Linked DNA regions of Elephas maximus indicus. The protein of the gene in region 2 interacts with the protein of the main gene of each other region in a pairwise test. Links are inferred from orthologs where the notes say so. Each region holds a gene or a part of one and is shown on either strand. Other genes may lie near its edges.

Region 1 (16,493 bases), on a different chromosome or scaffold from region 2:
CTCAACTATAGGCCTCATCCAGTAGACCTCACAATGACTGTCTCTCCGTGTCCAATGAGTAACAAGGTGGCCTGGGAGAGAGCTTTAGGACCAAGGTCCTTTATGTATAGATTTCCCCCCAAATAAATAAGCATACACTTATGTACAGTATGGACAATATATTTTTTTCTTAGTTTTTGTTTGTTTGTTTTTTGCCCAAAGGCTATATCAACACTGAACACTGGTAGAGGGTTTACCACTCTAGAATGGAAGATATAGGGAAGCTGTAGTCCTGGTCTTCATCTTCCTCCTCTTCCTCGGTATCTTCCGAAATGGCTAGATGGGGGAATACAGGGGAGCTGTTGTTTAAATATGGACAACAACAGCGCAGAAGCAGCTCAGTGTATGTTTTCAAAGCCCTCTGATACAGCCATATTACAGCGTTGCATTTTTATGTGACTTGCAGTGAGATGCTTTATTTTTTGGCATCTGCTGTTATGTAATAAGTTAAAAAAAATTTTTTTTTTTTAAAACAATTTATGAAGTCAAAAACTGCAGAAAGTTCTGAAGAATCAATGGCTCAGGTTTTACGGGAAGATTCCTGAAATCAGATAAAAAGCGCTCTTGTGTTCTAGGTATAACTGCTTTGGGTCCTTAATTCAGAGTTAGTAGAGGCAACTGCAAACAGCAGCAGCCCGTGTGTGATAATATACAGCTGCCTTAGGCGGAAAAGGAAAACCAAATTTTTGAAGCAGTTAGTTTAGATTCAAGTGTTAATCAAGCAAACAGCAAAGCACAGTACTAAAGCAAAAGAATTAGGGCAAATGACTGGAAATAGGTTTCAGCGGCAATCCCGTTGCTGATCACTCAGCTAGTCCTAAAAGCCAGGAAACATTCCAGGGAATTTTTCTGTGGATCACTGAATTGCTGGTGAAATTGAGCAGCTACCTAACTGAAACAGAAATGGGCTTACGTGGGAGGTCTGCGTGCTTTTTAAGTCTCCATTCCCAAGGGCTTGCCTGGGAAAGCTTTAAATTGCAGCAAGGTTAAAAATCGCACTTACAGTTGCAAGATCCGGAGTGCTTTACTTCCAGCAGCACACCTGAGGAGCAGGCAGCTTCCTTCATGGCACACTCGCTGGCATAAGTGGCATTGTCACTGGCACAGACAGGCTCGTCAGACTTACTCTCAGGGCACAGCTCATCACAGAGGGAACACCGGCCTCTGCCAACCTTGAAATCCCATAAACATTTTTTTCCACCAGTGCACTGGATATCTTCACAGGACTTTGCTTCTAGGATATAATACATCTGTGATGAGTAAACTGATTTCCCCTTCATTCCTTTTCTACCTTTCTCTAGTCTTCTCTCAATACATATATCTTATTCCTCACAAATGGTGGTAAAGGAGACATTAGGCAAAAATGCTTGATAATGAAGCTGAAACTCAAATTCAGAGACACACACACCACAAAACTGCAGTTTCTTACAAACTATATTAGATCATGGAAACAGTAATTTTTGGATCAGGATTTCGTAATATCTTTGAGTTAAATATGTATCCGATTATTTCTCACAAGTGGGATTTTAAAAAGAAAGAATTTCATCAATCATTGGAATCTGATAACAGATTCTAGGAACTGTGAAGTAATTATTTCTCTCTTCTAGCAAGTCTAGCAAGCCCTTAAAGAAAAAAACTTGTAAAACTGAGTGAATTCTAAGTTTTTTTTTTAAGATGAAAAATGGCTTTCTGCTTCTTGCTGGCATTTGAATATATATATATGCCAAAGCTTCTGGAAGACAATGATTTCCATGAGGAATGGTATGGTCAAGACAGTTTAGTCAAACTGGAGAGTAACTTATCCCTCTAAAATTACATGTTTGAGGAGACAAATTTGGCTTTTATTGGTTGGCTAGCCCCACAGCTCTAACACAAGAACTAGTTGTCTGGCTTCTCTCTTTTTTCTCTTTTCCTTCCTCAATCCAGAATACCTACTGATACACTTTCCCTCGTAGGCTAATCCAATGGATCTGCCCAGCAGGCAGGTAGCCTTTCTCAGGTGACAGGCGCTGGAGTAGGTCACTCCGTCATTCCCACAGAGATACTGTTCAGAGGAGGTGGGCTCTGGGCAAATCCGATTACATGTCACACAGTAGGCATTATTGGTCTGGTCTACCACACATGTGGAGCTGCCTGGACAGTAAACATCCCGACAGGTCTCTGAAACAAAGACAGAAATACACATTCATAGACATCGTCTGGTCCTTAAGGAGTGAACATTTGATATTATAAGGAAATCATGAAACTGAAACAATTCAGCTTTGAAAAGTTACTTTGGGAGCCCTGTGGCTTCCAAACATACTAGTCTAGGTTTGGCCCTTCACAGTTCTTATAGAGTCTTTAGACATTTGAAAAAGTTTCCTTTATTTGGTATCACTGAGGTTTTTTTTGTATTATTATGATGATGACTATGATTAGACTCTTACTATGGACTATCCCATCCCTCCCAGGGACTCCAGGGGGTCTACTTCAGGTAGAAAGTTGGGGGGTGGGGGTGGGGAGGGAAGTTGCTCAAGCAGCTGAGGACTTACTTTTACATTTGCCCTGGTACTGGACTTCCAGTTCTGGCTGCTCTTTACATCTGGCCTTGAGGAGCGCACATTCATTGCGGTAGGTTTTGCCGTCCAGCCCACAGACGGGGCCCTTCCAGGTGATGTTGGAACAATCAGGAGCACAGACGCAGCGAGGTTTGTTCTTCTTGTTCATTCGGCATTTTTTCCCGGGTCCACAGTCCACGTTTTCACACGTTTCTACGAGTTGGAAAGAGGGATGGATTAGAACCAGGGCCAGGCAGTCTGCAGGTCAGCCAGGAGAGCTTGGGTGTCTTGCGCAATCTGCAGACATGAGTTTGCAAGGGGAGCCCAGGCTCTCTCCTAGGAGCCAGGGACCGGACTGAAGAGGTGGAAACAGTGGGCTGAGTCTGGATACTCACATCTCTCAAAGAGCAGGGTTGGTTGCCTTTACCACCACACTTGGCACAGAAGTCCAGGAACCTCCATCGACCCTATTTTGCCTGCCTGCAGCCTCTAACAGGCCAGATTCTACCCCAATGGCTTACCAGGGCTGGGGGAAGGAAGCGGGAACCCATAAACAAAGCTTTCCCAGTCCCAACTCCCAGCGAGGCAGTGAAGAAGCTGAGGGCAACACACCATCTACTGAAGGCCTCAAGTTGGGGAGGAAGAGCCCTACCTTTACAGGGGATGCAGTTGGGGGCGCCCCCATTGAAAATCATCCACTTGAAGAGTGTGTTGTCATTCACATCCTCCTCGGTCCACGAGGTGCTCAAGCGCCCGGTGCTGCAGCACTCCTCCTTGCTCAGTTCAGTCTTGTACAGGACTTGGCAGCGACCGTTCTTAGCCTGGCGGAGCCAGCAATTCCCAGCTGCAAAGAGACCGGGGTGGGGAGGTGGGTGAGTGCTCGGCGGGGTAGGGGGAGGGAGGCGGCAAGCGCAGGAGGGAAGGAGACAGAGCGGAATGGGGAGGGGTGAGCGTGGAGGAGGGGATGAGACAGCCTATGGAGAAAAGCAGAAAATAAATTGAAAAGCAGAAAATAAATCGAAGGGGGTGGTGGTGGGGAAAGAGAGGGTGGAGAACGCTCAGAAGGGAGAGTTGGGAGGTGGGCGAGGGGGAGGGAGGGCGAGGGTGAGAAGGCAGAGCGCCCCAGCCATATCAATGTCAGTTACCAGTGACCCAGACACAACACGTGCAGCTTGCATTGACTTTTACTAGACTGTTTACTTTTATTTGTCCCATTTCATAACCTGCAGCAACTCGAAGAGCAGATTAAAGAATCTGACAAAAACAGGATGCGACGGATGTTTTTACATGTTGGTTTCACGTAGGCGGTATGGGTATTATTTGTGACAGGGGTTAAGAAAGTAGGAGAACTTGAGGGAGAGAGAGAGACAGACACACGCTACAGCGGATTAAGCAAAAGGCACTTGTGAAAAATGAAAGCAAAAAAGCGACCGACAGGGCCCGGTTGGGAGCTGCCCCAGAGGCCTTCAGGCGCAGTCTGCCCGACGGCCCGTTTTGCAATCGGCCAGCCCGGGAGGACACCGCGGCCACCACAATCTTTCGAAATCTCGGAGGGCTGAGTCCCTGGACGCCCACGTCCCCCGCACCAAAGCAGCGCGCTGCGCAAGGCGGGCAACCAACGTGGAGCGGTGCAGATGGCGAGAGGCAGTGCCCAGGCGCCCAGGCGGCCGGTTCACAACATACTTAAAACGTTAACGCGAAAGCAGGTAAAGTTACACGTTCTGTCTCCTAGAAAGTAGAGGAGACAAGAAAAGGAGGGACGCTTCCCACAATTTCACAGCTACATATACCTAGCTCATACCTACAAAGAAATCTTTGCAAGCAATTTCTCTCCCTTCTCCCGCCCCCTCCCTGGTTAATGTTCGGATTTTGGTCAGGAAAAGCTCTCATGAATCACCAATGTGACTTTTCCAACAACTGGACCTCAAGCTGCTATTACGATTTCTAATTTTAAAAATTCTGCCCAAAGACTAATTGAAATAAAAAATCGAATTTGAAAAGACACACTTTAGAAATGTGCTCTTAATCCATCTCAGAACTGGAGTCATTTGTGGGCTCCTCACTGTTCTACAGAAAGTTAAGTTATAGGGATGAGGCAAAGGGGGAAAAAAAACTGTAAAACTACTCTTAAAAACACTCTGGGTTAATAATTTGAGACTTTTTTTTTTTTTTTTTGCGGGGTGTGTGTGGGGGAGGGGGCTGGAAGAAGCATCCACTAGGCAGAAAGCTACTTCCCTCTAAAAATTTCAGCACCCACATTTCCAAGTTTGGGCAAAGTTTCTGAAACCACGTCGCCCAGCCACCGAAGAAAATTCAGTATCTGCCCCCCCTCCGGTCATTTTTTAAAGTATCCAAAAGATGCGGGAGGGAGAAATGTTAAGGTTGCAAAGGGGTCGACTGAAATCTCCAGGCTACTGATGCTTGTCTCCTCCTTCAGAGCCAAAAAGGGGAGATAACATCCCAACTCATTATGGCAGAACTTGAAGTATCTAACCCTAACTACTGAGAGAGCCTCCAGCTCACTCCCTTTCCTTTTTAAGGATAACCGAGCTCCAAACTCTTCCCGTCCTAAAGTGTCACTGCCTTCTGATTTCCCACTCCTCTCCATCCCGGAGTCCTTAAGTTGGTCCAACATCTTCCAGGAGCAGCGATGCAACAAGAGACCAAGTGGAGACGACAGTAAAGTCCAAACCCGTGTCCGCAGTCGAGCCTCCCCAAAGCATCCCCCTCGCTTACCCTGGGCGCTGCGGTCCTCCATGAACTGGCAGAGCAGCAGCAGCAGGAGGCAAAGCCCGCCGGGCTGGTGCCTCGGCCGGACCATCCTAGGGGCAGGCGCTGGGCAAGGAGCGCAGCGGCGCGGGCAGCGGGCGCAGCGACTGGTGGCTCCGGCAAGCGGCGCGCGTCGCAGAGGCGAGCGGCGGAGAGCGCAGCGATCCCGGCGCAGCCCCGCGCTCGCCGCCGGCCGCCCGCGCGATTCAATGGACGTCAGAAGCCGGGCGCAGCCGCGCTTTAAATCTAGACGGGGGTCTCCGCGGTTTGCGGTGGGCGGTCTCCCAGTGTGTGGGGCTGTGGGAGGGCGGCCGCAAGCAAGGGTGTGCGCGGCTCCTTGGGGGTGGGGAGCTTTTAAAAGTTCAGTGTGAATCAGGTGACATTTCCCACCTTCTGGAAACCCTTCCCAATTATCTGCTGGAGGTGCCCGAAATCAAAGCGGCAGGAAGGGAATCGCCGAGTTCTTATTTGCGTAGGAGCGGGAGGGAGGGGGAAGGCAACGCTTCGGGGGTGGGGAGTGGGGAAGAACACCCACTTCAAGTCCTGCACGCCGCCGCTCGCAGGCAGCGCCGGCGCGCCCGGGGTGGCTAGTGTGTGTGTGTGTGCGTGTGCGCGCGCGCGAGAGAGTGTGTGTGTGTGTGTGTGTGTGTGCGAGGGAGGGCGCGGTGGGGGCGCTGGAGGCGGCGGCGGCGGGCAGAGCAGGGGAGCCCGGGAGTTGTCTCCGCACCGCCGCTCCTCCGCTCCAGACAGACTTTGCAAACGCCCAAAGAGCCCCGGGCTGCCGAAATAGCCTGTTTCGGCTTGGGGCGGACCGCGCGGGCCTGGTGGCTCCGCTGGGGAACTCTGCGGTTTTCGGCTCCCGCAGCCTGGGCGCGGAACCCGCGAGGTTTTGTGTCTGGGTCTGTGCGACCCTTACTTTGCTGCCGCCCCCAGCCCAGAGCTGCTGCCTATAACCCTGGCCCCGGCACCTTCCACACTGGCTAAGCGCATCCGAGACGCGGCCCTTCTGGACGAGTCAGAAGCAAACAAAAATGTTTAACACCTCGGGCCCAGCCTCCTCCCTCCCCCCCGTCACAGTCGCGCCTTCTCCCTTTCTTTTCTTCCCTTTCACTTGGCTGCGTCTGGAGTCGGAGCCCGGAGCCGGGGCGCCGACGTAGGCGGTCTGCCCCCCCCCCCAGCTCCGAGGCTCCCCGGTTTCTGTCTTGTGTGTCTCGTTCCTCTGTCTCTCCCAGTCGCCTCCTCGTCTCCCCGCTGGTTCTCTCCCTTTCCCTCCCTCTTTCTCTCTCCCTCTCCCTCTCTCGGTTTGTGGAATAAAAAAGATTGCAACATCGATAATGAACTTCTGTAGCCTCAGTTTATTAAGCACAGTGCCTGGCATTCTTCGCTGAAAGTTGGCGGGTCTCTCATTTATAACATTTTTGGCATCGCTGAATGAGACTGAGGAGGCGATATTTCCTTTTATATAAAACGATTACTTCACGGAAAATGCTATATTGTTTATTCCAAAGCTGCCTTTTTAATTTCTATTCTTTTCTGAAGCTCGAAGGACAACAGACAGGGAAGTATGCAGACAAAATTCTTGGATATTTGCAGGTCACTGGGATTCGTTCTACGGATTTGAAATCCGCCCCTCTTCGCCCCCCTCAACTCCTCTGCCAGCCCCTTCTCAGTCTTCCTCTCGCACTCCCGCCCCCCCCACCGTCTTCCACCAACCCCCCCATCCCCTCCACAACTGCAAATAACTCAGTGATAACAGATTTTTTTCCACCAACTGCAGGAGATAGTGCTAATCTTTTAATAAAAGATCCCATTACAATGGGATCTGTCTGGACAGACTATAATAGATCCCGAAATACAGCCGTGCTAATATTAGAAGACAGTTGTTTGGGTGCCTCTCAGACGGGCCCAAACCCCCCTTTGAAAGTGGGCATGAATCACAAAACCCCGCGGCCGCCGCACCTGCACCGCGCGCATTGAGTGCAGCAGGCTGGTAAAAACGGGTGACCTCGCCGCTGCTTTTCGCTTTATAATTACCGTCGTGAGGACGGGAGGGGAGGGGCGCCGGCGGCCCCGGGGAGGTTGGGTTTTTGCTCACTTCAGACGGCTCTGGGGGCTCCACATCCTTCTTAATCTTTCCATATTCGTTCCCCCTCTCTCTCCTTTTCTCCCTCTTTTCCTCCCGTCCTCCCACCCCTCTTCTCTTTCCCTCCCTCTTCCCAGACTCTGCTCTTACTCTCTCCCCATCCCCCTACTCCCTCCCTTCTTTTCCTGTCTCCCTTTCTCTCTTCCCTCCAATGCCGCATTAATGTAGGGTGGTTTAGTGCCCTCTAATGGCAGACGACATTAACAATTAATAACAAACTACCCTTTGCAGGAGCCGCCACTCGATGACAGAGTTCCAGCGCCGAATTTATTTGTTCTTTATTCAGGGAGATGGATATAGTTCTTATAAAAGTGCTGAGGGAAAGTTTGTGTTTTCCCCTTTAAGACTCCCGCCTCTCCACCCCGCCCTGTCCTCACCTAAGGGGAAATTTAGTTGAAGGAAAGGCAAAAGCCAACAATTTTTGTTGCTTGACTTTTTTCTTTAAAAAAAATTTCTTTTTAATAGCAGCCAGAGACACAGCTTCTGTTTTAGCTAGGGTTATCAAACCGTATATCTTGGATTGAAAAAATAAACATCATAAATACATAAAAGATCTTAGACGTAGTTGTATCTTATCGTAGTGCTACCAATGGGCATTACACAAATTTTAATACCCAAACATACATGATTTTATATTTGCCCTCTGTTTAGGTACATTTATTGTCCCTGAATCTGTCTGTAGCCTCTGAAAGCTAGGGTCTTTTTCTTAGCCTTTTCACCCTAGGACCATAGAAAATGTGTAAATTTTAGTCATGCCCAGTTGTACATGAAGCCACCTTGCCAGAGGATATAGGGTAATATTTTAACCCACAGTGGCAGGACCATACTTTTTCTATATTTTATAACGCTATGATGATGAAAAAGGTGATATAACTTGCATGTTCTTATTATACTTAACTATTGTTCATTTACATATGCACATACCCACCAGGGCTCCCCATATAAAAAGGAGTGTACAGATACAGGGGTGGGGCTTATGTGGCTAAATGAAATATAATAGAGGCAATTTTGGAGGTTAATAAGAAATATTTATCTGGGTCTTTGAGTAATAGTATTTGGTTTATCCAGATGGTTATTTTAGTTTATGTATATAGAAGCAACTGGTGTCATAAAATTTTTCTGTATCAATTTAATCCAAGATATGTTCACACAATTCCAGTGTAACTGGGTAAAAAAAAAAAAAAAAAAAAAATTAGTTTCTCCTTTTTTTTTTTTTTTGGTCCCTATAGTGCCAAATACTCTTTGACCAGACATTTGACTAAACCGACTGCATCGATTAGTTGTTTGGCGTCATGCAGTTGTCTTGGCAAGGCCCAGGCAGATATAGTACTCTCATTGTAGAACTTGTCATCACGCACAGGAGTCCTCCAGCACCAGAGGCAGACCCAGCATAGGATTCTTACCCCTGAGAGGGTGGTTCTGCAGGTCAGGGTTGAGGTCACTGACAAATATACTGTGGAAAACAGAAGTGCTATATTGCTTTTGCCCTTGTGAATAAGCAGCTTGGTGTTTGTTTAAGGATACAAGCTCATCCTGTTTTTCAGCTGCACCTTGGATGGTATTGATCTGTTTGGGAGAATGTCAGCTCCGAATCTGCACAGATCAGTCCTCAGGAGCCTTGTTGTCCCAGGTTATTTTCTGGCCATATCTGAGGAAATGAGACCCAGGTCAATACTGGTTTCATATGGGTGTGCTGTGGGCATCAACAAGAGATCCATCTGATTGCAGTGGTATGAAATGATATCACACCTGTTCAGTGACATCACAGAAAAACAGCTGCTGTTTCTTTTACTGTGTTAGCTCCTGTAAATGCTAAATATTGGGTTAGCAGAGAGCTAAAATGTCAAGGGGACATTTTTAAAATAAAAATGCCCTCTTTCATTTTTGTCGTATGCCTCCAAGTTTGACTTCTTTTTTTCCTTTCTGCATTGCCAAAAAAGTGAATGTAAATTATGAGAAACACAATAGGACCACTTTGTAAGTGAATTTCTGGGCAGCACACAAAAAGACTGCTGTTCTCTGATTGTTTTTTCTCAGCTTCAAACGGTATCTTCCTTCTGAAGTCTATAAATTTAAAATATTAGACTTTAGCAAATGATTCAATGTCGCTCCCAAGATGGCTACTTGAAATCATACGAAATTGCTGTTTGAGCCCAGAATTGGCCGGGTTAAATCTTATTTCCTAAAAAGAGAATATGGAGGGGCTATGGTGAGGTTATTGTGGAAGATTTGAAAGTGATGCACTGAGCAGCTTTTATTTTGTGCCTGAAAATCACATGCCTAAATTTTTCAAAGTTAGGTGTTTTGCAAAATTAATGTTAAGTCTGCAAATGCAAACAACTGATCCTGATTAAGGAACAGAATTTAAGCATGAACAATAGGCTGAAATTCTTTTAAAATCAGGTTTGGTTCTTGTAGGTACAAAAACAGTTACTCAATGCGCCACCATGGTCTTTGGAATTGTGCAACTTCATAGTGCTAGAATGAGGCTTTGAGGTGGGGGGTGGAGACAGGAGTTTTGCATCGGCTGAATTGTTGCAGAACTAAAAAGTTAAGAAATGTGAGTACATAAAAGCAGTGTTTATCCAAGGTGTCCAAACCATCAGATGATTAAGCTTTTTAAAAAAATTATCACAATATATGTTTTCTAGACAGTGCCGAGAAAACAACTGATTAACTGAACTTTTCTCTTTTCAATATTGCTTTCGTATTATGTTGAGTCAATCACAGAGCTGCCTTTCTTTTTGAAACTACCTGTTTCTGTATAAAAATTTTATGGTCCTATTTTCCCCTCTAATGTTAAAAATATTTTGGATTTTCAGAAGTCATCTATATGTGCTATATAGTCACCTAAACTAGCAATATCAGCATATTCAAATTTATCATAAATTAAGTCATTAATAAACCTTAGTAAATGATTCAGATTATGCCTCTGGATAGGACTATTCTGTTGGGTTAATAGAAACTTCTAAGAATTTTACTGTAGCTTAGGTCAGTCTGACAATACAAATGATTCATTTATTTAGGTACGACTGAAAAGTAACAGTATAACGGTGACCTTTAGCACTTTTGACCCTGGTTCCATTTACACTTCCCATTGCATGGAAAATGTGAGGACGGTAAATCAGTATTTGCTGTTCTCTTTCCCTACTTTTTGTTCAAAGCTCAAGATCAAGATAAGTACCACTCTTCCTAGATTATCGTTTGGCTGCCGGATAGTTGGTATGTTGCAGTTCCTTTTGTACATTTTGGTGTCCACTACCTCATTCTAGCTTTCCATGGAGTAGCAGTGATTTACACATTTTATAATTTGTTCTTTTATAAGTGTTTGCTTATTCAGTATTGAGATCAGCAGTTGATACAATTGCTATTTAATCATCCATCATGTTTGCCACCCTTATTTTTTTTTTTATATGATATGAATCCTGTCTCATCTCTGATGCCCAATTGGTCCAGGAGTTGAAGTATTATGTTTATGATAGGTCCAAGGCTCACCAGGCAGTCAGGCATGATTTTAGACAGCCTACTGTGTGTCCTACATACTTTCCTTTAGTCATCTTTCCTCAATGGTGACTTTATTCCAGGTCCATTTTGCATTTTGCTTTTGCACCTTTGTCAAAAGTCAAATGGCCTCATAAGTGTGGATCTGTTTCTGGGCTCTCTATTCTGTTCCACTGATCTATTTGTTAATCCTAAAAAAAAAAAAAAAAAAAAAATTTTTTATGCCAGTACCACAGTATCTTGATTAGATTTATAGTAAGTAATGAAGTCAGGTAGTATAATTCCTCCAACTTTGTTCTTCTTTTTCAAGATTTCTTTGGATATTCTAGTTGCATTTTCATATAACTTTTAGAATCAGCTGGTCAATTTTTACAAAAAAGCTTGATGGGATTATGATTGGAATAGATCGATTTGGGGGAGAATTGACATTTTAACAACATTGAGTCTTCCAAACCATGAACATGGTATATCTTTCCATTTATTTGGGTTTTTAAAAAATTTATCTCAACTAGGTTTTATAGATCCATTTTGTATTTTGGCTGTCATTGAAAAACATGTTGTTGATATAGGATAATCTATGCAGTTTTAGCTCTGTATCTCAAAGAAATTCAGTGGGTTCTAAAGATATCCTGGTGCAGGCTAATACTTGTCTTCATACTCCCTAAATTTGATTTCCACAGCCAGTGAAACACATTGCATTGAGCATACTCTCCGGGAGTGGTGTGCTAATTCTTCAAAATCTCTTGGATGCCTTCTTTTGGTGTTTCTTTTAGACCATAGTCACTCTTTTAAATGAATAATCTTTGTCACCATGAGATTTATGTTCAGTGAGTGTTAAAAAAAAAAAAAATCCTCTATTGGATAGTGTTTTGTCAAATATTATTTCATCTTTTTCATGTGAAATAATGGATTATTTCTACTCAAAATAATCCATTACTGTGCTTAGGTTTCAAGTGGCAGTTTCTATTATGCCAAACTTTGAGTGGCTTTTACTTTCTGAATTTATTCTATATTGGAGAATTATGGCATCTTTTCAGTTGTTAGAGCTCTCCCTGATAAATTTGTCCTCCTTACAGTTTCCTCTACCTTAACATCTCATTTTCTACTCATTAGAATGGTCAGTACTAAAATCTAAACTTGTACCTTTTGCAGCATGTATTGGCTTATTTTTTTTTTATGTAAAAGACACATTCAAAAGTAAACTATACTTTGTATTGTTTATCTAACAGTACTATTAAATATTTAACAATGGGTTGAGGTCAAATTGTGATGACACAACATGTGGAAATACGGGACAGATGATGCATTAAGTGTTGAAATAAATTATTTCAACACATGGCGAGCCTTGCTATTTTTTGGACTAGAATAGAAATATATAAATGTATATTATGAAAACTGGTAGATGAATGACTTACAGGCAGTCTTGGTTGATGTGTGCTAATCTCCCATAAACAGCCACTCTTTAACAAAATAGAATTGTTAGTATATATAGGAGGTTCATTTATTTGGTTTTCTAATACATTAGATAATGATTCTTTTGAACTGGTTTCTGTGCAGTTTCTTTGAAAATAAGGATATGAACATAATCAACAGAAAGTATGTGTTAATAGCTCACATGGTGGGCAGATGGAAATGTAGTGTAGAAGAACCACTTGGTTGAGATCATTTTGATCCCAAGACTTCTAATCTTTGCCTTAGCAGAAAATATTGCTTTGGCCAGGCAGATGACATACCATCACACAGTCAATGTTACAATTTTTGCCAGAGCACCAGATTTCCTAAAAAAATTTTTTCTTGTTCACATATCTTCTGAAAAGCTGTTGAAAGCTATGAACCATTTCCTCAGAATAGTGCACAGACACAAACATGTATACACACATACACAATATTCTACGTTGTTTTTTAAGGAGATTATAGACACTTTTATGTCCATACACAAGTCTTGTAGGGTTCAATGGACTTCAGATTAAGACCCTTAGTTTTGAGTGAGCCAGTTGCTAGATGGGCTGATTATTCTACCAGTACATCCCAATCAGTCTATTTGCCTTTCGAGATTCCTTCAGACCTCAATCAGAGTGTCCTTTGGTTTTGCCACTCCCTGGCATAACTCCATATACTAGAGTGTCTTACAAAATTAACCAATGTCACCATTACAGAAATTGTCTTGAGAGAGTTCAAAATACACACACACATACATAACACATACACCCAGATATGCATTTATCTACTTTTTTTTTTCTTTAATAATTGATGGTGTTAACTGCTGATGAGTTGGCCTCTAACTCATGGTGACCTCAAGCACAATGGAACTAAATGCTGCCCAGTTCTTTGCTGTCCCCATGACTGATTGTGGGTCAGACCGTTGTGATCTATAATGTTTTCTTTGGCTGATTTTAGATTGCCAGGCCTTTCTTCTTAGCCTGTCTTAGTCTAGAAACTCAGCTGAAACCTGTTCAACATTAGAGCAACACTCAAGCCTCCACCAACAGATAGGTAGTGGCTAAGCATGAGGTATATTGGCTGGGAATCGAATCTGGGTCTCCCACATGGGAGGTGAAAATTCTACCACTGAGTCATCAATATTTCTACCCCCTTTAATAACAGCTACCACTGATCAAGTTACTATTCCATGCCAGGCATTTAAAATATACCAACTTTATTCCTCATACCTACCTTGCCAAATAGATAATATTATCACCATATCTAGATCCCTCCAAAATGTAGGGCAAGGCTGAGGCAGGATTCAGAAAGAGATTGAAATTTAGGATTCCCAAGGAGTAAGAAGCAAAAGAAACAGCTTCGTAATTACTACTGTATTCTAGATAACGTACTTTTAAAGATAATGTTTTTCAGCTGCTATTCATAAAATCTGCAACTGAGGCACACAAAATATTCAAATGCAAACAGCCTTAGTCTTTCTGAGGTTTAGTTGTCAACAAAATTTCAACAAATATTTCTTAAATATCTATTATGTGCTCCAGATTCTATGCTGTGGATAGAGAAACAAACCAGACGAGCCTAGTCACAACTTTCTTGGAGATTTTAGAAAGCAGAACAGACAGATATTAAACAAGTAAGTAAAATATATTGTGATGAAGAGGGTCAGGGAAGGTCTTTCTGAGGAAGTGACATTTAGATGAGACTTTAAAAATGAGAAAGGGGTACCCAGGAAACGGTGGTGCTTGGGAGAGATAGTGGAAGAGTATTTGTGAAGCTAGGAGGCAAGAGATAGGATGCCCCATTTGAGGAACCAAAAGAACAAAATGAAGTTGTGGCATGCCCAAAGCACAGAGTTAGAAGAGTAGAAAATGAGGAGATAGGATAAGTTGATGGGCCAAATTATGTAAGCTCTCGTAAAACTTTGGGTTTATTAGTTTTGCAGAGGGAAGCCATGGAAATATTATACGTAGGGGATGGCATGAGCTGCTTTTCCCTTAGAAATGCTCTCTCTTCCGGGACTGTGAAGACATATTGGAAGGGACTAGCACTGGTGAAAGAGCTACCTTTTGGGATTCCATTCCAGTAGCAGGACTGTATAAGGGGATGGTACTTGAAGAGAAGGATAGATTCAAGAAATGATTAAGGTGTAGAACCCATAGGATCTATTGATTGACTGAATGTGGGGGATGAGGGAAAAAGAAGAGACAAGGATGACTGTTGGGTTTCTGGCATGATTTATTGGATGCGTGGTGCTATCATTTCCTGAGATAGGCTATGTCTTAGGCTGGGTTCTCTGGAGAAGCAAAACCAGTAAAGTGTAAGTATATATACAGAGAGATTTATATCAAGGAAATGGCTCACATGGTTATAGAGACTAGAATTTCCAAGTCAGTGGGTCAGGCTGGAGGCTTCTCCTGATTCAGGTAGCCACAGAGGAGGTGAACCCAAGATCAGCAGGTCAGAGAGCAGGCCTATTGCTATGCGAAGATCGATGAATCCCAAGATCAGTAGGCAAGACCACAGGTAAGCTGCTAGCTTAGGTTCCAAAAACTGGAGGTCAGACAAACAAGAGCCAGCTGCAGAGCCAGAGTGAGGAAAAGCCCATGAGCCTTTCCAGACTGTCCACTTATATTTGATACAGGTCACATGCCCAAGAAACTCCCTTTCAACTGATTGGCTACTCACCAATCAGTAGATCCCATCATGGGGGTGATCACATTATATCAAATCTTTGCATAAAAGTGATCACAATATCAGAAGACCGTCAAACCACTGAGAATCATGTCCCTCCAAGCTGACACGCAATCTTAACCATCACAGTCCACCCCTTGTCAACCTGGCATCTATAAACACCTCCTTAAGCCATACATAATTTCTGAATAAAGACAATTATAAAGTCATACTTGCATCTAACATGATACAATGAACACACATACAACTGAAATGCACTGGCCTTGTTTACATCTTATATTTTATAAATGAGGAAAATTATTTGAAGCACACATATAAAGCAGAAATACTCACAACAATTAGTCTTCATTTCTGCAACTGGTCATGTGGTTGTAACTGGTATTTAGAACTACCTTTTTCCACCACCCATTCTGTATTCCCTTTGCCCTCAGCAAGCATCTCAGCTGGTTGTGGTTCTTTGCCTGGTGGGGTGAACCAAACCATTCCTGAAGGGTCTGGGCCATTCGTAGTCGTATCAGAATTGGGTTGCTGTAGTTTTCCATTGACTTTAATTATAGGGCATGGTAGTACTAAGAGATGCCCTAAGGGATCTCTTGCAAGCCAGACATACCCTTCTTTACCTCCATTATGTAATATCAATCCAATTTCCTCTTGGTAATCAGGATCAATCACATCAGCCAGTACGGTAACTCCCTTCTTTGCCTGTTGATCCATAGGCATAAGGAGCCCAAAGTTGCCAGGTGGCATTCTTAGCTTCCAGTTCAATGGAATCAGTGATCTGTCTCCAGGTGAGAGCATTCCTCCCTTTGGAACTAAGGCCTCTAGACCTGCAGAGTGTAAGGCCTCGGGGACAGGAAGCAAAAATCTTGCCAGTGGGTCATTAGGGGTAATAGTGAGTGGTGCCACTCGCATTTCCACCCTTTGATTCCTGGGCCCATGAACCCTGGCTATGAGAGATACAGCACCACATATTGGACGCTGGTTTAAGGCACATACAGCCTCCTGGAGAACATTTCCTCAGCCTTTAAACTTGCTCAAGTCTGAGAATTGATTAAGAAATCATGACCCTCTATTCTGGCGATTCGAGTTAGACTGCTGTTCACTTGACCTAGAATTCATGCACGTGTACAGATCAAGTAAATCTTTAGTAAATTTCCTATATATCTCACTCCTAGGGACACCATGACTAAGTAGCCAACGCCATAAGTTCACACCAGTCAGACTATTGTGATTATTGTTTTGACTCCACTGTCCATTACAGTAACCACACCCGCATTTCTTTGTCAGTTGAGTGCTGCCACTTGGCCTCTACTACCATGGGCTTTAACCAGCCCCATTACAGTTATCTTAATTCATTCAGGGCAGTTCCCACT
Region 2 (16,121 bases):
GCTACAAGCCAGGCAGGTGTGCTAGGTGAAGGGGAAACAAAGGTGAATAAGAGAGGGTCCCTGACCCCAAGAATCTTAGAGACTAGTGGTGGGGAACAAACACCAAGTGATCAGTAGAACAGTAGTTAAGAGGTACTGAGTAAATACCATGTGCCAGGCATTATTCTGAGCAACTTATAGGTACCATCTCATTTGATACCTTTTGATATCAGATTAACATCACCATTTTACGGACCATCATACTGAGGCCCAGAGAAAATAAATAACTTAAACTGGACAGTTAATAAGTGCCAGAGGCTGGAAAGAACACAAGCAGTCTAGCTGCAGGACCCGCTCCACCTACCATAAATGCAGTGGGAGAAGTGAGGCAAAAGACATCATGGGTACACAAGGAGGGAAAGTAACCTCGACTGGGGTGTAAAAGGGGTAGCTGAGAAGGGTTCCTAGAGGACACGTGATGCTTCTGAGTAGGAGTTAGCCAGGTATAAGTAGAGAGGGAAAGGATGTGCCAGGTAGAGCACAGAGCCGAAGCAAACGCAGAAGTGGGAAACCAGTACATGGGCTGGGAACAAGCAATCTCGGGTTGGCAAGTCCTTGTAAAAATGAGTCTGGAGCAAGGGGAAAATAAACAAAGCTCAAGTAACAGAGGTTCTTGTAGATCTATAAAGTGCTGCCACGTGCCTGTTCCTATTGACCCTTTAGTATCTTTATTAAGCATTCCATGTTTGCTTCATGAATAAGCAACTTTTAGGAGGTGGATGGGGCAGGTATTAAGATCTGGTTATACACAGAGAACCAAGCAAGGCTCAGGGAAGACAAGGGATTAGCCTAAAGGAGAAAGTCACAGAATCCAGGTCCAGGGCCTTTGCTACTGCAATCACACCATAACTGAGCAGCTAACTCCTCCTGCCCACTGGGGCTAGGCAAAAATGCAAACCTGCATAATGGCTTGCACACGTGTAAAGAACTCCAAGGCCATGTACCTTGTAACAAGCTCTCAGAGTTCAGTGGGCTGTGAGAGGTGGGATCATGTGCTAAGACCCTGATCTACACCCACAGAAGACAGCATCCTCCAAGTGTGGTGGCTAAGAACAAGCTCTTAGAAGCCAGACTATCTCATTTTAAATCCTGGCACTGCTGTTACTGACTGTAACTCCCGGCATTCTCTGTTTACTGAGGCCCAGCGGTTAAGCACCCCACTGCTAACTGAAATGATGAAAGGATGCTGGTTCAAATCCACCAGTGGCTCAGAGGGAGAAAGATGTGGCAGTCTGCTTCTATAAAGATTACAGCAATGGAAACCCTATGGGGCAGTTTTACTATGTCCTGTAGCATCACTACACCCTGGTGGCGTAGTGGTTAAGAGCTACAGCTGCTAACCAAAAGGCTGGCAGTTTGAATCCACCAGGTGCTCCTTGGAAACTCTATGGGGCAGTTCTACGTATAGGGTAGTTCAACCTACAGGGTTGCTGTGAGTCGGAACTGACTTGACAGCAATGGGTTTGGGTTTTTTTTTTTTTTGTATCTGAAAAATGGGAATGATAACAGCACTGAGAATTACATAAGCGATACTTGAAAAATACATAGAACAGTGCCTGACATGAATCAAGTGGTATATAAGTCCTCAACTCTGGAATTTCTCCCCAAATTATTCTCTCAACTATATGAGGAGCCTTGGTGTTTGCTCTTTAAAACATTTGGGTTTTCTAATTGACTGATATCACGAGAATAGGTCTGAGAACCCCCTTTCCTGTATCATTAGAAGTTCAGAAAGGACCTTAAAACTTACAGGCATCTTCCCAATTTTTTGGTGACATCTTCGAATCTATGGATTTAATAATAATCAAACTCAGCGCCTACTGACTGAATACCTCAGAATGTTACAGATAGAATGTAGGGTTTTAGGCAGGTGGGTGACTGATAAGGTACAGAAGCCTCAACCATCATTATGCTTATTTTAGGGTGTGAGGTACATAGCTCCTGATATGTAGGATTAAGCTCACAGCTGGCACAGTTACCTGTTCTTCCAAAATAGGGCTTTTTACTAGGGTTAAAGTTTTAGTAGTACTTGACAAACTTCTGAAAACAAGTACTGTAGATTTCAGAGAAAAAAGCCAACGTGAGACCTCAGCAGTATTCTAAATTCCAACCACGTACCTGACAGTCATCCACATCGACTTCAAGGAACACCACGTTGCCATATTTCTCGGAGAGGGACTGGAAAATTTCAAATGAGAAAGCCGAAGAGATTTAAACTGGGTAATGGCAGCCAACAGACTCAAGCTTCCTCACTGGAAACTTAAAGTCGAGAAGAACTAAAACCTCAAAAATTTACACTAGAAATCAGGTAGGTATTAAAAGACATACATTTTCTCTGAATAAAATTCCTCTTGCCGTAAAATAATTTGGCACATCAACTTTTGAGGCCTACATTTCAAATAGGGCCCAGTTTCAACTTTAATAAAAGCAAAATCATTTAAGACAAACCAAACTAACTTCTGAAAGCTGTCTTAAATGATCTATATGTATCAAACCTAAATTGCTACACTATTACCTGTAGACCAAAGATCTAGCAGAAGAGAAAAAAGGCTTTACTTTGCTAACTTTGTGACCGCCAACTGCCCCCCCGCAAACAAATCGTTTACAAAGGAAAAGCTGTTTAATACTCACATGAAAGAAAGGCTTGATCATTTTGCAAGGCCCACACCACGTGGCTGAGAAGTCAACTACTACAAGTTTATCTCCAGCACTGTTCAAGGCTGCCTGGAAATCCTCCTTAGAAGGGAAAAAGGCATATGCTAAATAGTTGCATTTGGAGACGTGATAGGACAGGATGCACAACTGAGAGGTCCTGCTTTCACGCTTAATTTTTCAGTAAAAGTAAAAAAACAAAGAACTAGGTTTGAAGGAATCCTAAACACCATTGGTACTGTCATTTGATGAATGAAGCCAGATGTGCGGCAATGTACGTGTTTTCATGGATATATTTTATAAAATACAACTAACTGGCTAATCTATATTCAAGCTAAGCAAGTCAAAGGAAAATAAAAATAGAAATTCGGACTAAAAATGTTTCTACATCAAGTCTGGTTGGTAGAATCCACTAAATGCTTATTGACTGATGAAAGGGGTCATGGTCACTTCAATCAAAGAAGTCACAATGGCACAGGGTTTTACAACTGAAACACCAAAAAAAAAAAAAAAAGAGAAGAAAACGTTACCTCAGAAGCAAACACTTGTCTGATTAAACTAATATTATCTATGGTGGAAAATGTGAGAAGTTAAAAAAAAAAAAAAAAAAGTCAAGGAAAATAACCTCCCTCAATTCCCAAACTCAGATAATCAGATATCACCTGACATTAAGCGTTATCTCCTTGTACTTTCTTTTTAAAATGGTGTTTCAAGAGTCGAGATCATCCTGCTTATCAATCTTTGATTTCGCTCTTTATCTCAAAATTCTGCCCTCATTGTTGATTATATGAACAATAATGTTAGATCTTTGTGGAGCATTCCTTACATTTATTTTACATAAAGAATGCATGTGAAATAAACTCTACTAGCGGAAGATATTAAGAAATCCAACCTCTGTGAATTATTTACTAATGGTCTGGATACTGTAACTCTGGGAAGCTAACCTTCTCATTTTAAGCACAATTAGTCACTGCTGACCAAGAAACAGGCAAATGAAGATAAATCAGAACATAAACATCTATATCCATGGCTTGGTTTTCTTTGAAGGGAAAAATGCTAGCCAAATAATCTAATTAAAAACGAATCAATTTATGTAGATGATAGGAGTTCAACAGATGGTAGCTATAATTTTTTATTTTTAAAAATACTATGTTGTCAGTACTGGGGAAGTCAGCACAACTTGACCAAGGCAAGGTCATGGAAGCTTCATAGACACATCCAAACTCCTTGAGGGACTGAATTACTGGGCCGAGGACTGGGGACCATGGTCTCGGGGAGCATATAGCTCACTTGGCATAACATAAAGAAAATGTTCTACGTCCTACTTTGGTGGGTAGCATCTGGGGCCTTAAAAGCTTGTGAATGGTCATCTAAGGTACTTCACTGGTCTCACCCCATCTGGAGCAAGGGAGAATAAAGAAAACCAAAGACATAAGGGAAAGATTAGTCCAAAGGACTAATGGACCACAACTACCACAGCCTCTACCAGACTAAGTACAACTACATGGTGCCCAACTACCAGCACTGACTGCTCTGACAAGGATCACAGTAGAGGGCCCTGAACAGAGCTAGAGAAAAATGTAGAAAAAACTGCAAACTAACAAGACCAGACTTACTGGTCTGACAGAGACTAGAGAAGCTCCAAGAGTAGGGCCCCGGGACACTCTTTTGACTCAGGACTTAAGTCACACCTGAGGTTCACCTTACACCCAAAGATAAAAAAAAAAAAAAAAAAACTGAAACCAAATTTGTTGTCATTGAGTTGATTTCGACTCACAGCAACTCTACAGGACAGATTAGAACTGCCCCATAGGGTTTCCAAGGAGCGCCTGGTAGATTAGAACTGCTGACCTTTAGATTAGCAAATGTAGCTCTAAACCTCTACGCTACCAGGGTTTCCCATCCAAAGATTAGACAGCCCCATAAAACAAAAAGGAACTAAATGGGCACACCAGCTCAGGGCCAAGGGCGAGAAGGCAGGAAGGCTGGACGAATAGAAATGAGGAACTGAAGGTTGGGAAGGGAAGAGTGTTGACATGTCTTGAGGTTGGCAACCAACATCACAAACAATATGTGTATTAGCTGTTTAATGAGAAACTAATTTGCTCTGTAAACCCTCATCTAAAGTACAATTAAAAAACAAAAATGAAACTGCGTTGTGCTGATTTCTTCAGCATCACCTTTTACAGTCCCTTCTCCCATCCTTGTCTGAAACAGGTCCTTGTGCCCTGAATCACCAACACAGTGCCACGAAACAAAGTTATCCTGGAAGGCCAAAGGCACAACGTTCAGCCCATCAGGATGAAAATCTAAGGAGTATTTAATATTTACAAATAACCAAATTACAGTTTAATTTTTCATTAGTGGCTGTGGGCCGTAATTCTGTCAACTGACTGTCTTATGGCTGGGGTGCTTTTGCAAGTGATCAACTCCCTGTCATCCTTGTACACCTCACTGATAAGGGGACTAGGGACTGATTGCCATAACTACAATAGAGAAGGAAGGATTGAAAGGTTTGCTCCAGGAATCAAAATCAATTTTCTGTTTGCAATGTGTACTCAGAGGTTTTCTGGCTTGTTTAATAGGTTCTCTCCTGTTGGGTTCTAGGATGAGGTTGCCAGACCCTCAACAACAGAAGCCTCCCACCAAGGCATATAATTAATATCTGTCATAAATCAGATATTGAACAAAACTCACTATTAAGGATCTCTCTTTTCAATACAGGAGAGGTTATCATTTAAATTAAAACAAAAAACCAAACCTAGTGCCGTCGAGTCGAGTCCAACTCACAGCGACCCTCCAGGACAGAGCAGAACTGCCCCATAGAGTTTCCAAGCAGCACCTGGCGGATTTGAACTGCTGACCCTTTGGTTAGCAGCCGTAGAACTTAACCACTACACCACCAGGGTTTCCATTTAATTATTAAAGCTCATAAAATTAAAGAAGTTCAAAGTTGCTAATAAAGATAATGAAATTAGAATAAGACAATTTTTCTTTACCATTAATTTGCCCAAAATTAAGGTGAGAAAAGTCGGCGATAAGGGTGATGTGAAAGGAGCGTTCTCATGTAATATGTGTACCATTTACAAGTTTACTGCGCTTGTAGTTCTAATCTAAGGAAACAGCCTGCTCTTTGTACAAACTTTATTTAAAAAAATTAATTGAAAGTTTGAAACTTCCTAAATATCCACAAATGTTTTCAGACATTAAAACTATTACAACGAGCTTTTAATTACAAGGAAAGTGTTTGGGCTAAACTGAAAGCGGGAAAAAAAAAAAAATCCCAAATCAAAACAGTACGAATAATCTCAAAGGCGTTCTCTCCCCTCCCAAATTTTCTACAATGATTGCGTATGTTTTCTGGTTATAAAGTAATAAAAAATGAGTGACCATTATAAAGAAACTTGTTTCCGAAGCCCACACCACCATCTAAAAGCTGAAGGCACTCGTGGGCAAGGATCCCGTTTCCCGCTTTCCCGGGCTGAGGATGGACGCGTGCGAGGGGTCTTTGACCGTTCAAGCAGCATCAGTTTTCTTCCATTTACTTTTCTGACTCTGCATTTAACAAGCCTTCTTGAATGGCTACAGTGTGCCAGACACTATGTTAGGTAACTCGAATACGAGAACAATTTTTGCTTTGGGTGTTTTTAAAAGGACAAAACCAGGATCTGGGTACACGAAGGCCGACGAGCACACTAACCCAACACGGTAGCTCCCATGGGGGATCTTGGTTTCAGTGAAACTCACGGACTGTGGGAAAATCACAGGCGGGCAAGGGAGGCCCCCAGGCCCAGGCCTCGGGGACTGAGTCATTCCAAAGCCAGCCCCGCCGGAAACACGCCCTGCGCCGCAAGAGGAGGAGTCCGGTGGGCGCAGCCGGGCCCTGACTTCCTCGCAACCACCTGGGGCCCATCGCTCCTCCCCTGGCCTCGGGGCCCGGCCGGCACTCCCGAGGTGTCTCCAGTCTGGATGTGCCCCCTTCGTGCGGGCACAGCAAACGTCATCTTTGGGGCCCGGCGGTGATGGAGGCTACCGGGGGATCCACCCCATCCCAGGCGGGTGGATCAAGTCGCTCACAGGGTGGGAGTGGCGGCCAGCGACTTCAAGCATCTCCTTGCCCAAGCCCGAATTCGAATACAGATGAGGTCTAAGGGCAGACGCCCTCCATGCCCTCACTTTCTTCCAATCGGGGTCGCCAGATGGGAGAGTGCGGGAGGCGCAGTGTGGGTACCCCGGGCGCTCCCCGCGCGCGTGCATCACCCAGGCGCACAGGAAGCGTCAGCGCTAAGCACCCCGATCTCGCCCTCCAGGGGGGCCTCGTCCCTCTCCTCCTCCCCCCCGCCCCCCAATCCCGGGCATACTCTGCCGCCTCCGGCGAGCCCAAGCCTGGGCTTCTCAGCCGAAGGCCAAACTGCCGCCTCCCCTTCCCCCAGGAATGCAAAGGGTCTGCCTCGCCATCTCTGGCCCACCGCCTAACCCAGCTCGGAAGCTGCAGCGCGCCCTGGACTTCCCTGGAGGTTCGTACCTTGCCCTCGATCTGTTTCACCATTTTGGCGGTTGGAGACTGATGAGCGGCCCTTTGAAGCACAAGAAATATACCCGAAGCGCCGGACAGAGCTTGACCCCTAAGCGCGCAGCCCGCCTTGTCTTTATAGCGCAGCAACGGGGCGGGGCGCCGCTGTGGGCGGGCGGGCGCGCGCAGCGTGCGTGAGGTGGGGGCGCGCCCGTCCAGGCAGCTCGAGCCCGCGCCCGCGCCGCGCCTGCCAAGATTCCGCCAGCGAGGCTCCGCCTCTGGGGGGGGGCGCAGAGCCGGGAGGTCGGGGCGGGGCCCTTGGCGGGGGGTGGGGCTGTCGGCGCCCCACGGAGACCCCGGAACCCCCGTCCCGAAACCGTTAGTGTCCCATGGATGCGTCGAGTGACCTAAAGGGCTCATGCAGTGCGTCACGCGGTGGGAGGCGGGGAAGCGGACGGCCACCTCCAGAGCTACAGGGCCCCTCCCGGGTTACCCGGGAAGGGGTCAGCCAGACCTTAATCGAAAGCAGAGAGGCTGGAGAAGGACAGTCCCGGGACCGCTCTGGCGTGGCTGGATTCCTCGAAAAGGCCCGCCACACCCTCGCCTCTGCCCTGCGGCCCAGAGAAACCAAAGTGCTGAGTAACGATGACCAGGAAGTATCGCCGTGGGTTCACCCTGTTCTTTGTGAAATCTGCTTTGACGGTCCTCTTCTTTTCCCTCCTTGTTCTTTCCCTTTCACTGATGAACTCGCCGCTCGAGGGTGACACTGCAGCTTAGAGCGGTAGAGACAGCCGGGGTGGGGGGTGGGGGGACTGACTGGGCTATCGCACAGCTGCGTGCGGGATGTAAGTTAAATTGTGTGCAACTTCGTTACCATGTGTGACCCTGGCTACGCTCTGACCTCCCAGCACCTCAGTTTTCCCTTCTGTGAAATGGGAATTAATAGTCTCTATCTCACGGTGGTGGTGTTTTGCGTGCTGAATAAGGTGCTTTAAAGTGATTAGGACACTGTTTTGGTACATAGTAAGCCCCCCAATAGTTCTAGTTATAGCTAGTGTGGAGTTCATGGGTGGCCCAAACGGTTAAATGCTGGATTACTAGCCTAAAGGTTGGTGGCTAGAACCCACCCAGAGGGGCCTAGGAAGACAGGCCTGGCAGTCTGCTTCTGAAGGGTCACAGCCTTGAAAGCTCTATGGAGCAGTTTTACTCTGCACACATAGGGTCCTGTGAGTTGGAGTTGACTGCAACTAACAACAACATAGCTATCGTGAGTACTGATTCGGCCTGCTTGGTGTCATGGTGGGCCTGGATGAGCTTAACCAAACCAAACCAAAACCAAACCACTGCTGTCCAGTCGATTCCAACTTATAGTGACCCTATTGGACAGAGTAGAACTGCTCCATAGAGTTTCCAAGGAGCGCCTGGCGGATTCGAACTGCGGACCTCTTGGTTAGCAGCCATAGCACCTAACCACTACACCACCAGGGTTTCCATCCTTATATTTGTAAAGCACCACTGCACGTATTTGTGTTTTTTCTATCCGTGGTGAGAAGCCTGGAATGGAAAAGTGAGGCGTTTGTGTTGATTCAGGGATGCACATCACAGGTTGGGTCTGGCACAAGAGAGTGGATTGTGAAAGGTAAGTACGTTTTTAGGTACGGTTAGAAGGGCCTGTCGGGAGTTGAACATGGAGGAACTGTTGAACTGGAGAGAGAAATGAGAGCCAGAGGTTGCGGTGGGGAACCCGAGCTTGCATTTTCAGAGCAGAGCAGGTCTGGATAAAGCTAGATCTAGGTATGATTGGCTGCGGTGATGAAATTGCTCCTTGGCTTTTCCCCAGAGCCTGTAACTTCTTTCTCCCTGACCTTTCAAACGGAGAGGAAGGAAGGAAACCTGAGGTTTTGAGCCTGTTATGCAGTTGCTAAAGGACTGAGAAGTTGCAAGCCATAAGTAAGGACGTAAACGAGATACACATTTTAAGGACGGCTCTAGACAGAGGGAAAATGGTCTCTCCTGAATACAGCAACCTTCCCCCAAAGATTAAGGACTACTGGGACAAAGAAGGGGCCTTATAGGGTGCCGGGAGCAGCTTTTCTGCTGCACTGCCTTAAGCCTAACCTCCATCCCTGCTTCTGATGCATTGCCATGGGAGACGACAACAGATAATTGCGCTACAGGAAGGCGAGCTGACAGATCACAAAGGGCTGCCCAGGCCATATTCAGCTGACATCTCCTTTCCAAGGACTTTCCAAATGTCCATTGACTCAGTTGTAGGGGGTACTGACTCCCTCCTGCCTCTGGAAAACCAATATAGAGTGAATGTGAGGGATGTTACAACTATAGAGAACAGGGAGCTAGGAGGCTAAAAGTGTATGATATGAGCCCAGACTCTGCAATTAGACTACCTGGTTCTTGTCCCCACTGTTACCACTCAGTAGCTGGGTAACTCTAGGCAAGTCTAAGTAGCCTATCAGTTTTCTTACCTGTAAAATGGGCATAATAATACCTTATGCTATGATTAAAGAGCCCTGGTGGCACAGTGGTTAAGCACTTGGCTGCTAACTGAAAGACTGGCAGTTCAAACCCACCCAGTGGCTCCCTGGGAGAAAAACCTGCTAATTGTAAAGATTACAGCCTAGAAAACCTCATGGGTCAGTTCTGCTCTGTCACATGGGGTTGCTGTGAGTTGAAACTGACTCGATGGCACCTAACAACATCATGCTATGATAAATGTTGAGTGAGTTAAAATATATGTGAAGTGCTTAGGAACTGTACTGGCATAAAGTAAATGCTGTATCAACTGTGCTTACAGGCTATTGAATGGAATGGTAAAAGCCCTTCAGAATGAAAGCAGAGCTAGGATGGAAGGGGAGACTGTGAACCATGTATCCGAGTTGTAAGAGAATTAAGTAATCAGGAAATTTGTAATGAACAGTGAGTCTCAAAGGAAAAGGTCCCCACCCCGCACCCCCAGAGGGAGGAAGAAAAGTGGGTTGGACCTTGTCCTAAGCAGCAAGGTTCTCTGCCTTGCATATGAGAAACTGAGTCTTTAGGATTTCAGGTCTGGCAAGGAGGTAGCATTCTGTGATGAGAGTGAGGTACGGGGGATCTGTTTGTGCAGAGGGGCTGTAGCGGTGAGAGGAGGAGAGACATGGTGATCATTATGGATTGAATTGTGTCCCTCCAAAAATATGTGTTGTAAATCCTAACCCCTATACCAGTGGTCATAATCCCATTTGGGAATGTGTTTTCTTTGTTACGTTAATGAACAGTATTAGTGTAGGATGTGTCTTAAGTCTCTTTTGAGGTATAAAAGAGCAGAGAGTGATCCCATGTGACAGAGTAGAACTAACCCATGGGGTTTTCTAGTCTGTAAGAAGCAAAAAAACAAGCAGAGATGAGGGAAAATAGATGCCATGCCACATGTAGATTCCCACGGAGCCAAGGAAAAGAAGCTGAAAAGAGACAAAGACCTTCCCTCCAAGCCAACTCCTAGAGTTAAGCAGTCCTGAATTCGGACTTCTAGCCTCCTAAACCGTGAGACAATAAATTTGTTTGTTAAAGCCACCCGCTTTTGGTATTTCCTTTGTAGCAACACTAGGTAACTAAGACAGTGAAATAAACACATTCATTTAGGGTTTGGCTGCGTGCATTACTCAGAACTGTCAGTTGCAAGGATAAATTACAGTTCAAACTGATTTAAACCACAAAGAGAATCACTAACTCCAGGAACTCAAAGATGTCACAAGGGCACATTCTTGAACAGGCTTTCTTCTCCTTGTGGAAGACTGGCCCTGGCCACCAGCAGTCCCGGGCTTAGGGTCCCACCAGTTTAGCATCCCTTCAGAAAGAGAATCCTTCTCCTTTGTTCTTGTAACTGTCCCAGAGGCTGACATCATTGACTTGAGTCTGGGGGTGGGCAAGAAGGCGTCAGCTTGAACCCCTTGGACTAAGAATAGGGAAAATCCAGGGAGCTACCAGAAAAAGTAGAAATGGATGCTAGGGAGGCAAAAACAACACTTCCATGTCATCAAGAGGAGCAGAAGATTAGTGCGGTCTGATAGCTTGCTTCAGGCGTCTAGGTCAGCTCAGTCTGAGGCACCAAGCAGAACTGGAGAACTAGGTCTGCTGTGTTGTTTGAGTCCTATCTTAGTTATCTAGTGCTGCTACAACACAAATACCCGAGTGGGTGGTTTTAACAAACAAATCTATTTTCTCACAGTTTAGGAGGCTAGAAGTTTTAATTCAGGGTGTGGGCTCTAGGGTGGAAACCCTGGTGGCGCAGTGGTTAAGGGCTAAGGCTGCTAACCAAAAGGATGGCAGTTCGAATTCACCAGACACTCCTTGGAAACTCTATGGGGCAGTTCTACTCTGTCCTGTAGGGTCACTATGAGTCGGAATCGACTCGATGGCAACATGTGTGTGTGTGTGTGTGTGGTAACCATTAGCCTCATGTGTCTGTTGAGAACTTGAGATGTATACTGTACTTGATTCAGTTATTGTAAATTATTTTAAGTATGTTTGGAACAACCTTGGTATGTGAATCTAAGTTTTCAACTAAATTTTATGCACTTGAATACAGATCATGTATTCGCAATGAAATTTTACCATCCAAATTTTGATGTGCTGTCAATGTAAAATTCACATCAGATTTTCAAGACTTAGTAAGAAAAAAGAATATAAAATATTTCATTGACTTTTTATATTGTATGTTGAAATGATAATATTTTGGATCTATTAGATAAATAAAATATTTAAATTAATTTCATCTTTTTTTTTTGTACTTCTTTTAATGGCTACTAGAAAATTTAAAATTGTGTTTCCATGGAACAATGCTGAGTTAAGAAGTTCAGTTGGTCCTAACATCTGCCTCAAATGAACCTTTTATGCAAAGCACTTTTGTCAGAGTGCCTTAAAGGATTGGGACTTCAGTTCCACAGGTATGGCTTGTACGACTGTTTGCTGGCCTACCTGATAATAAATGTGTATGTGGCTACCATTGAACATATCACTTGATAGTGAGGTTTTGAGGGCCGGACCTGTAGTTCTTGCCTAGTTGTAAATGATACAACGTACAACTTAATCACTTCTTGGAAATACACTCAACTTTCTTGAAACTCTCCCTCTATACTTGTTAGGTGCCCTTGAGTTGGTTCCGACTCATAGTGAACCTGTGTACGACAGAAGTAAACACTGCCCAGTCCCGCACCCATCCCATGATTGCTGTTATGTTTGAGCCCATTGTTGTAGCCACTGTGTCAATCCATCTTGTCGAGGGTCATCTTCTTTTTTTACTGACCCTCTACTTTGCCAACCATGGTGTCTTTGCTCAGGGACTGGTTCCTCCTGATAACATGCCCAAAGTAAGTGAGACGAAGTCTTGCCATCTTCACTTCTAAGGAGCATTCTGGCTGTACATCTTCCCAGACAGATTTGTTCATTCTTCTGGCAGTCCATGATGTATTCAGTATTCTTTGCCAACACCATATTTCAAAGGCATCAATTCTTCTTCAGTCTCCCAAATATTGTCCAGCTTTCGCATGCATATGAGGTGATTGAAAATAGCATAATGTGGGTCAGGCATTCCTTATTCCTCAAAGTGACATATTTACTTTTTAACACTTTAAAGAGGTCTTTTGTAGCAGATTTGCCCAATGCAGTATGTCATTTGATTTCTTCACTGCTGCTTCCATGGGTATTGATTGTGGATCCAAGTAAAACGAAATCCTTGACAACTTCAATCTTTTCTCCATTTATCATGTTTATCATGTTACTTATTGGTCCAGTTGTGAGGGTTTTTTTTTTGTTTTTTTTATGTTGAGGTGTAATCCATACTGAAGGCTCTATTATACTCTGTCAGATCTCCATACAGCTCTACATTGCTAGAGAAAAATTTCGTTTGCTGAGTCCAGCAGCCCTACGCTGGGCACCACTAGTGTACCATTGCTACTGCCAGAGTTGTCCCTGGAAATCTGCCACCAAATGGGTTTTCCAGGTGGTTCCTGACTCTGCATCATGGATCCTAAGGAGAACCTGACTGAGAGAGGTATGTGTGATTGATGGAGCCTCTACTGTATGCCCCTGTTCCAGCTGTGAGGGAGGCCAGAAGGCTCCAGGGTCCTCAGCATTGTTCTCGTGAAATGGCCTTTGTCTTTCCACTAAATCTCTTAAAGCGGGAAATTCCTCAAACGTGGAAATGGTGCAGCAGTAGATTCAGGTGTTTGGGGGGAGGGGGAAGAGGAAGACAAACCCTACCCCATTTTCCCTTTCACATACATTCCTCCTCTGCCCATTTGTCTAGTGGCCTGTGGGGTGGGGGTGGGGGGCCGGGGGGGGGCAGGCATGGTGATACCATTCTCTTTGCCAGCAACTGGTTCAAGAACCCAGATATCAGCCGGTTAGCAGTTAACAGATGGCATTCCCTTGGCCACAGGTTTGTTTCAGGATCAGATATGTGACCCACTCTGGGCCAATGAGATGAGAGGAAAGTTTGCTAGCAGATTCTAGGGAAAGTTACCTTATTCCTGAGACCTACATAAAGAAACGATCTCATCTTTCTCCAGATACTGTTTCATGTGGGTGTAAGCTGGAAAGTCGTAGAACATACAGAGAACTTGAGGGCAGAAAGCATGGTAGTTGCAGAGAGTGGAGCAGGAACCACTGGATTAAGTTCCCTGGAGCCTGCCCGCCATCTGGACATCTAATTATGTGCATAATACATTTTCATTTGGCTTAAGCAACTTCAAGCTGGGTGTTCTGCTACTTACAGCCAGTAACAACCCAACTGAAATATATTTATTTAGAGGATTCATCAACAGATGAGGCACTTTGGTAAGCTTGTAATTTGTTGAATTCTGAAAAGTTAGTGTAATGTGCTTTAATTACTCTAGAAATTATCACTGTTATGAAATTGAAAGGCAGTGATTAGTATTTAAATGAATGTAACACAGACAACTTGAGATCTGCTTCATTTGGCCGGGGATAGAAGCAGTTTAGCATTACTGCCAGATTCCTTCTCTTTTTGCCTGAATGCCCTGAGGATGAGAAGACCTCTCAGGGAGTACCCTCTGAAGAGAGACATATTTAAATTCCTGGAAACGCCTACAGTACAAACATAAGCAATATTTTAGAAAACATTACCCTCCCTCCTTCTTCTTTCCTTATGTGGTGGACAGCTGCTGTTTTGCCTGCCTAGCAATCCTTCCCACTTATTTTGGTAACAACAGCCTACCTTTCCTTTGAATAGCTCTCTCTCTCCCCCAGTCCCTGTAATCTTGTTGGGACGAGCCATTGGGGTCCAACAGCTGTTTCCTGTACCTAGATCCAGGGCTGATATGTGACTTCAGGTCAACCAGACAGCCTCACAGGACTTCAGATCTCTAGGGAATGCAAGAGGGAAAATGGCTGGAGTCATTCCTAAAGTTCCACTGCTAAAATTGGCCAGTGAAAACCTTATGAATAGCAGCAGAACATGGTCTGATAATAGCATCGAAAGATGAGCTCCTCAGGTTGGAAGGTTCTTAAAATACAACTGAGGAAGAGCTGCCTCCTCAAAGTAGAGTCAACCTTAATGATGTGGATGGAGTCAAGCTTTCGAGATCTTCATTTACTGATGTGGCACAACACAAAATGAGAAGAAACAGCTGCAAACATGCATTAATAATCAGAATGTGGAATGACAAAGTATGAATCTAGGAAAATTGGGAGTTGTCAAAAATGAAATGGAACACATAAACATCAATATCCTAGGCATTAGCCAAAATGGACCGGTATTGCCCATTTTGAATTGGATAATCATATGGTCTACTATGCCAGGAATGACAAATTGAAGACGAATGGTGTTCCGTTTATCATCAAAAAGAACATTTCAAGATCTCTCCTGAAGTACAGTGCTGTCAATGACAGGATAATATCCATAAGCCTACAAGGAAGACCAGCGAATACGATTATTATTCAAATTTATGAACCAACCACTAATGCCAAAGATGAAATTGAAGATTTTTACCAACTTTTGCAGTCTAGAATTGATCAAACATGCAATCAAGATGCATTGATAATTACTGGTGATTGGAATGCAAAAGTTGGAAACAAAGAAGAAGGATCTGCAGTTGGAAAATATGGCCTTGGTGATAGAAATGATATGGAAATCGCATGATACAACTTTGTAAGACCAACGACTTCTTCATTGCAAATACTTTTTTTCACCAACACAAATGGTGATTATACACATGGACCTCACTAGATGGAATACACAGGAATCAAAATAACTACATTGGTTGAAAGAGATGATGGAAAAACTCAATATCATCAGAACAAGGCCAGGGACCGACTGTGCAACCAACAATTGCTTATACGCAAGCTCAAGTTGAAGCTGAAGAAAATTAGAACAGGTCCATGAAAGCCAGTGTATGACCACCTGAACTTAGAGACCATCTCAAGAATAGATTTGACCGATTAAACACTAATAACTGAAGACCAGACGAGATGTGGAATGACATCAAGAACATCATACATGAGGAAAGCAAAACGTCATTAAAAAGACAAGACAGAAAGAAAAGACCAAAATGAATGTCAGAAGAGACTCTGAAACTTGCTCTTCAACATTGAGTAACTAAAGCAAAAGGAAGAAATGATGAAGTTAAAGAGCTGAACAGAAGATTTCAAACGGTGGCTTGAGAAGACAAAGTAAAGTATTGTAATGAAATGTGCAAAGATCTAGAGTTAGAAAACCAAAAGAGAAGAACACCCTGAGTGTTCGTCAGTCTGAAGGAACTGAAGAGAAAATTCAAGCCTCGAGTACAATACTGAAGGATTCTACAGGGAAAATATTAAACGATGCAGGAAGCATCAAAGAAGATGGAAGGAACACACGGAGTCACTGTACCAAAAATGATTGATGTTCATCCATTTCAGGAGG

What was found.
Region 1: the proteins of TXN (region 2) and FST interact in binary tests that used the Homo sapiens proteins (3 or more experiments, as listed by UniProt). The link is inferred for Elephas maximus indicus from reciprocal best matches to the Homo sapiens genes TXN and FST.

Annotation. Positions count from the first base shown.
Region 1 is NC_064820.1:56,586,250-56,602,742, reverse strand, and holds the start of FST (follistatin), read right to left. Parts: upstream 5,852-16,493; 5' UTR 5,398-5,851; coding exon 5,313-5,397; intron 3,421-5,312; coding exon 3,229-3,420; intron 2,790-3,228; coding exon 2,571-2,789; intron 2,200-2,570; coding exon 1,975-2,199; intron 1,274-1,974; coding exon 1,043-1,273; intron 316-1,042; coding exon 233-315; 3' UTR 1-232. UniProt on the Homo sapiens protein: Multifunctional regulatory protein whose primary function is to antagonize members of the transforming growth factor beta (TGF-beta) superfamily including activin, myostatin, GDF11 or bone morphogenetic proteins (BMPs).
Region 2 is NC_064827.1:59,705,781-59,721,901, forward strand, and holds the start of TXN (thioredoxin), read right to left. Parts: upstream 7,358-16,121; 5' UTR 7,241-7,357; coding exon 7,217-7,240; intron 2,776-7,216; coding exon 2,671-2,775; intron 2,218-2,670; coding exon 2,158-2,217; intron 1-2,157. UniProt on the Homo sapiens protein: Participates in various redox reactions through the reversible oxidation of its active center dithiol to a disulfide and catalyzes dithiol-disulfide exchange reactions.